Rattus norvegicus: one gene and its partner. The protein of the gene in region 1 purifies or fractionates together with the protein of each later gene. This does not show direct contact. Links are inferred from orthologs where the notes say so. Each region holds a gene or a part of one and is shown in the gene's direction. Other genes may lie near its edges.

What was found.
Region 2: the proteins of Mapk7 (region 1) and Pfdn5 purify together in Homo sapiens (affinity purification with mass spectrometry; 3 studies listed by BioGRID and IntAct, with this or other methods). This does not show direct contact. The link is inferred for Rattus norvegicus from reciprocal best matches to the Homo sapiens genes MAPK7 and PFDN5.

What each region holds. Positions count from the first base shown.
Region 1 is NC_086028.1:46,669,171-46,671,931, reverse strand, and holds the end of Mapk7 (mitogen-activated protein kinase 7), read left to right. Parts: coding exon 1-410; intron 411-505; coding exon 506-1,179; intron 1,180-1,531; coding exon 1,532-1,665; intron 1,666-1,758; coding exon 1,759-1,912; 3' UTR 1,913-2,211; downstream 2,212-2,761. UniProt on the Homo sapiens protein: Plays a role in various cellular processes such as proliferation, differentiation and cell survival. The upstream activator of MAPK7 is the MAPK kinase MAP2K5.
Region 2 is NC_086025.1:135,329,040-135,333,211, forward strand, and holds the start of Pfdn5 (prefoldin subunit 5), read left to right. Parts: upstream 1-1,324; 5' UTR 1,325-1,367; coding exon 1,368-1,439; intron 1,440-1,615; coding exon 1,616-1,718; intron 1,719-2,002; coding exon 2,003-2,034; intron 2,035-3,619; coding exon 3,620-3,694; intron 3,695-3,809; coding exon 3,810-3,915; intron 3,916-4,172. Other genes in the region: Espl1 (separin), read left to right, coding at 1-81. UniProt on the Homo sapiens protein: Binds specifically to cytosolic chaperonin (c-CPN) and transfers target proteins to it. Binds to nascent polypeptide chain and promotes folding in an environment in which there are many competing pathways for nonnative proteins.

The sequences.
Region 1 (2,761 bases):
GCCTGATTGCGCCCCACCTTTTGACTTTGCTTTTGACCGTGAAGCCCTTACCAGGGAGCGCATTAAGGAGGCCATTGTGGCTGAGATTGAGGACTTCCATGCACGACGGGAGGGCATCCGCCAACAAATTCGCTTCCAGCCCTCTTTGCAGCCTGTGGCTAGTGAGCCTGTGTGTCCAGATGTCGAGATGCCCAGCCCCTGGGCTCCAAGTGGAGACTGTGCCATGGAGTCACCTCCTCCAGCACTACCACCATGCTCTGGCCCTGCCCCTGACACTGTTGATCTGACTCTGCAGCCTGCCCCGCCCGCCAGTGAGCTTGCTCCGCCAAAAAGAGAGGGTGCCATCTCCGACAATACCAAAGCAGCCCTCAAAGCTGCTCTGCTCAAGTCCCTGAGGAGCCGGCTTCGAGGTGGTTTGTGGGCCCAGCACCTGGGTGGGTAGTGGAGTGGTAGGCAGGGATTCTGGGACAGATCTGTAAGTCCTTACCTTCCAACTTTTCTGCAGATGGGCCCAGTGCACCCTTGGAGGCCCCTGAACCTCGAAAGCCTGTGACAGCTCAGGAACGTCAGCGAGAGCGAGAAGAGAAGCGCAGGAGGCGACAAGAGAGAGCCAAGGAGAGGGAGAAGCGACGACAAGAGCGGGAGCGCAAGGAGAGGGGGGCTGGCACCTTGGGGGGCCCCTCTACTGACCCTTTGGCTGGATTGGTGCTCAGTGACAATGACCGAAGCCTGCTAGAGCGGTGGACTCGCATGGCTAGGCCTCCTGTCCCTGCACCAGCACCAGCACCAGCACCAACACCAAAACCAACACCAACACCAACACAGTCCTCTGCTCAACCCACTAGTCCTCCCAATGGCCCTGTATCTCAGTCTACTGCTCCTCTACAGCCTGCAGGCTCTATTCCTGGTCCTGCCTCCCAGCCTGTTTGCCCACCCCCTGGGCCTGTTCCCCAGCCTGCTGGCCCTGTCCCTGCCCCTCTCCAGACTGCCCCTTCCACTAGCCTTTTGGCCTCCCAGTCACTTGTGCCACCTAGTGGGTTGCCTGGTTCTGGTGCCCCAGAAGTTCTGCCTTACTTCCCATCTGGCCCACCACCTCCAGATCCTGGGCTCACCCCTCAGCCTTCTACATCAGAGTCACCTGATGTCAACCTGGTGACCCAGCAACTGTCCAAGTCTCAGGTGAGAAGGGAGAAGGCTCAGGATATCTTGACCTGGTCCTGGAAGGTGGGTGGGGTAGTTGTCCATGTTGGGTGAGAGGAAGCAGCAGAGGGAGTCTTCCCTCCGTGAGCCTGCCCCCTTGCTCATAGAAGGAACACAGAAGGCCATTGCAGAGGTGGTTGGGAGGTGGACGCTGCTTGGAAAATGTCTGCCTTAGAGACAGCCTCACCTGCGCTAGCACTGGGTGATTTCAAGGCAGTGTTGATGCTCTAGGATATCTGGGCAGACTAGTCAGAAATATCAGGGTGTGCTCTGCTGACCTCAGTTTGTCCTTCCTGGCACTTGTGTTATAACCTGTTATTGTCCCCTGCAGGTGGAGGACCCCCTGCCTCCCGTGTTCTCAGGCACTCCAAAGGGCAGTGGGGCTGGCTACGGTGTTGGCTTTGACCTGGAGGAATTCTTAAACCAATCTTTTGACATGGGTGTGGCTGATGGGCCACAGGATAGGTAAGATGGCTGGACTGAGCTTTAGTGGAGGGTCTGAATGGCTGCTTAGCCAGCCAAGGCTTAGAACACCATCCCTGTTTCTTTTCCTTACAGCCAGGCAGACTCAGCCTCACTCTCAGCCTCCCTCCTTGCTGACTGGCTTGAGGGCCACGGCATGAACCCCGCTGACATTGAGTCTCTGCAGCGTGAGATCCAGATGGACTCCCCAATGTTGCTGTCTGACCTGCCTGACCTCCAAGAACCCTGAGACCCACAGCTTGTGCCTTGCTGCCAGGACAGACCCAGCTTCAAGGTCCAGGGGTGCAGTCCAGAGGGCTGCAGCCTTGAGCCTGGCAGGTGAGGCTCAGCTTGAGTTACTCTGCAGGTTCATCTCAGACCCACCGTTCAGCCTTAAGCAGCCGCCTGAGCCACCACCGAGCCATAACAGGATGGGAGGCTCTACTCCTTCCTGCGCAGTCTTCTCCAGTGTTGTATTTTTATTACTGTTGTAATATGCATTTGTTTTGCCATCGAAATGAGGCCTGTGAAATACAAGGTTTCCTTTAATCTGACTCTGTTATTGTTGGAGTTGGGGTAAAACCCCAACAGTAGGGGAATAAGGAAAAGCCAGGTGCTCGTATTTGGAGCCAAGTAAATGTTTGTCCACAAAGCCATCAGATCCTGAAGGTTTATTGAGACCTCTACTTCCCACCACTCCCAGCCCCCAGAGTTCTCTGCTGCCTCTCTCATGACAATCCCTAGGGAAGTAGGGGACCAAATTAAGCTGCTTTGCCGTGGCTCCTTCAGAGTCGATGGGCAGCAGCTGTGGTGAGTGTGGTCTTGGTGTTGAATTTTGAGGGATGAGTGAAGGCAGATGGGTTTGGGCTCCATGATGCTCACTTAAGGGAGTTAGTTGATGAGACCAAGGTAGGAAGTATTCTGAGGAGAGCTGTGGGAGTGCTGGGGTGTGACTGTGGCCATGCCTGAGCTGATTGGCAATGCCATAGGTGCTGTATTTCTCTGTCGAGGGTAGCCCTACACAGATGGGTCTGCAGTAAGGAATTGGCTGAGGTGGGATGTATAAGCTGGCAGCTAGAAGGTAGCTTCTGGCTTTCAG
Region 2 (4,172 bases), on another chromosome or scaffold:
CGCCAGGCCCCACGACTCAAGTATCTTATTGGTGCTGCACCTGTAGCCTACGGCCTACCTGTCTCTCTACAAACATCCTGAAGCTGTCTTATCTATGGTAGAAGCTGTGTGACTACCTCCAAACTTGGTTTTGAATATTTAGAATTTTTAAAGTGATTTTCCCTGGTGTTTTGTATGAAATATTTTCTTTAATGTGACCTTAATAAAGATATACCAAGCCTTGGTTTGTGAGAGTTCAAGCTCCTCTCCTCACTCCTGCTCTGTGAATGTAAGCAGACTGGTGGTGCACCAGGGAGTTCAAAGTTTGAAAGCTAAACCACAGGACAAAGTTTGGGGCAGCTGGGGCTTGGGTGATGAAGATGAACAGACGGCCATCAAAATACTGAGAGTGGCCCGTGGTGCATATCTTTAATCCCAGCCGTTGGGAGGCAGGGATACCCCCACCCCCACCCCAGCCTGGTCTATTTAGCAAGTTCTAGAATAGCCAGGGCTACATAGAGAAAAACCCTATCTTCCAAAAACAAAATGTTCAGAGTGAGGCAAACAGTGAGCTAGCTCAGCCTAGTCGTTACTGTTCAGCCAGTTCAAAACAATACCCTGTCAGTTTAAAAAAGAAAAAGAAAAAGCAAAGTTTATATTGGAGCAAAGAAAGGCAGTGATCAGGCGATGCGGATGTTTTTAATTCCTCTACTGCCATTGCCCCTCTCCTGGATGATTTTAGAAACCATTGCTCATCCCATGAAGGCGGCTACACTTGAGCAATGGCAGTAGCAGATTCTTTGGGGTTTGCTACTCACATATGTTCTGTCGCACCAACTAAACAAATTGCTGGGAAGCACACATACCCTTCATACCCAACACAAAGAAGCAATTATGGCGAGGTGAGACAAATGGTTAGCAGTTAAGAGCACTGGGCTGCTCTTTCAGAGTACCTAAAGTTGGTTTGCCTGCATAACTGAGACACGAAAATAAATGTAGTTGGTTGACAGTTGCTCCTTTTTGGCACTTCCACTTTATCCTTTAAAGCACGTGGTACACTGTCAGAACACTGGCTCCCTGCAGGCTCGTCCCAAAAACATGCAGTGGCATATTGCTTTACAATCTTGTGGTTGTGCAGTGAATCAAGAGTTTCGAGTTCCTTGAGGTCTCAAGTCGTGTCTGCTAGTTAATCGTGACAGCATTAGTGTACTTACGAAAAGAAACTGTTCTCTAATCAAGCTTGAGATTCGTATAGCGGGTCCGAAACGCAGGATCATAGAGATAACGGGCGCAGAGCGTATCCCCCGGCGGCACCATAGAGATAACGCAGAGTGGCTAGAGCTTCGCTCGCCTAGCCGGCTTCCGCTTCGGCAGTCCTCCTTCCCAACATGGCGCAGTCGATTAACATCACGGAGCTGAATCTGCCACAACTGGAAATGCTCAAGAACCAGCTGGACCAGGTGAGGACCTGTCCCAGCACCTTCCTAGCGCTTCACATCCTCCGACCGCGTTCCCTCCTGGTGGGGGAGGTTTCCTTTCCCAGGGAAACCCCTATCCGGTCCCAGGTCCCGCCCCCTCTGCCTGAGCCCGGCTTTCTCGGTTCCCGAGCTGACCCTTTTTTCCCCGGCTTCTGTAGGAAGTGGAGTTTTTGTCCACGTCAATTGCTCAGCTCAAGGTGGTACAGACTAAGTATGTGGAAGCCAAGGACTGTCTGAACGTGCTGAACAAGAGCAACGAGGGTATGGGCTAGGCGGGTGAGGGCACCTGGGGAAACGTCGCTAGCCGGCTTCTCTGTGGCTTTTTCCTAGTCAGTTTTCGTTAGAGAAAATTATCCGTTACGTAGTGTGTATAACCACACGAGCCCCCGCATGTTGCCTACGGAAATCTAAAATTTACAAGACATTCCTCAGTTACTGTTCTTTTCAATGTCTGTGGACACTGAGCCCAGGTGGGAGCTTCCCTTAACGTCTTCACGTGGGAGCGGCTAGCCTTCCCCAGCTGTTTGTCTTCATTACTTTCACAGGAAAAGAATTACTGGTCCCACTGACGAGTTCTGTATCCTTTCCACGGGAATTGCTACCTTACCTTCTTCCACAGTCTTCCCCAAAACCGGAGAGAGTTTTGATTATTCCCCAACGATATTTATGAATAGTTGCACACTATGTAGTTCTCTTGTCTAACCTTGGACAGGTGTCCATGTAATACTTTGTATCAGAGTTCAGTTAATTGAAATGTGGTGTTTCTCTTTGTTGTTTAGAGATGTTATTATAATACAGAGATAAAGCTGGCATTCGGCTAATGCAGTAGAAAAAAAATGTTAGGGTGTTGAAATTGTGAACATGTCTCTTCTCAATTTTAGCTTAATTGCGGCTCATCCCTGAACTACTTTCACTAAGAAACCTAGATTGTTTCCACCTGTTGAAATGACCTGCTGTCAGAAATGACAGTTAAAGAGAAACCTAAGGGCATTGGTGATTTAGCTCAGTGGTAGAGCACTTGCCTAGCAAGCGCAAGGCCCTGGGTTCAGTCCCCAGCTCCGAAGAAAAGAAAGGAAAAAAAAAAAAGAGAGAGAGAAACCTAAGAATAGCAATGTGGTGAAGACTGTTCTAAGTCACAACAATAGAGCCAGCAAGGTGACGCAGAAGGTAAAAAACCACACATACAACCTGAGTTCAATCTCTGATACGAACATGGTAGAACGAGAAAACCAACTCCCAGAAGTTGTCCTCGGACCTCTGCTCCATGGCTTGCACACTTGTGAAAACACACACAAAAACAAGTAAATGTAGTGGTAGTTGGAAGGTGGAGAAATGGCTCGGCAGTCAGAGCCCTTGCTCTTGCTGAGAACCTGCTTTGGTCCCCAGTGTCTACACGGTGTAGGTGACTCCAAGGGGATACAGCAACCTTTCCCAGCTCCTGCAGGGACCAGGCATGCATGTACATACACACAGTCTTGTCTTAGGGTTTCATTGCTGTGAAGAGACGCTGTGACCAAGGCAACTCTTATAAAGGCAAACCTTTAATTGGGGAGGGTTTACAGATTCAGAGGTTTAGTCCATTATCATCATGGCAGGAAGCATGGCAGCAACCAGTAAGACATGGTGCTGCAGAAGGAGCTGAGAGTTCTACATCTTCATCCAAGGGCAGCCAGGAGAAGAGACTTCAGGTAGCTAGGAGGAGGGGGGTCTTAAAGCCCCACCGCCACACTTCCTCCAACAAAGTCACACCTCCTAACAGTGCCACTCCGTGGGCCAAGCATATTCTAACCACCACAAATCTACCAAAATTTAAAAAATTAAATAAAAATTAATAACAGTCCATCAGGGGGAGTGAGGCTGGTTTTTTGCTCATACCATCTCTAGAACCTTAGGAGAGAATCCTAAGTATCCAACCCGTTCCCCCTGGAAAGACTGGTGTGGGGAATACAGGAGCTCCTTTAAGGATGAGAGATGGGGTCAGGACAAGAAAGTGTTTCAGCTTCTCTGTCTCCTTCCACTTACAGTGACCAGGAAGCTAAGGCCTTCGGTTACTTGGTTCTCCTGGCTGCAGCTTTTTAGAAAAGGCACTTTGCGGTTAGCACTGTGGCTACCAAAACCATGTCTCATGCTGTACCAGTTTTCCCTTAACCCTGGCTTCTCAGATGTATGTCCCCGGGAAGCTCCACGATGTGGAACATGTGCTTATCGATGTGGGAACTGGTTACTACGTGGAGAAGGTGAGCGGTGTGTGGATGTCCTCGGAGAAGGTGACAATGGGAGCTTAAGGGAAGAGGTGTGGCGTAGGGCAGGGTCTCTCTTTAGCCTTTCATTCATTCACCTCTGCTCTTGCAGACAGCTGAGGATGCCAAGGACTTCTTCAAAAGGAAGATAGACTTTCTTACCAAACAGATGGAGAAAATCCAGCCAGCTCTGCAGGAGAAGCATGCCATGAAACAAGGTCAGTTCTGCCCAGGCACCTCTTGTAAAACTGCTATTAGCAGGTTGTGTTTATTACACACACACACACACACACACACACACACACACACACACACACACACACACACACACACACACACACCAAAAACCAAAAACCAAAAAACCAGACAGGCAAGGGCCATAGAAGTGCTGTGGTGTGGGGCTGGGGATTTAGCTCAGTGGTAGAGCGCTTGCCTAGCAAGCGCAAGGCCCTGGGTTCGGTCCCCAGCTCCGAAA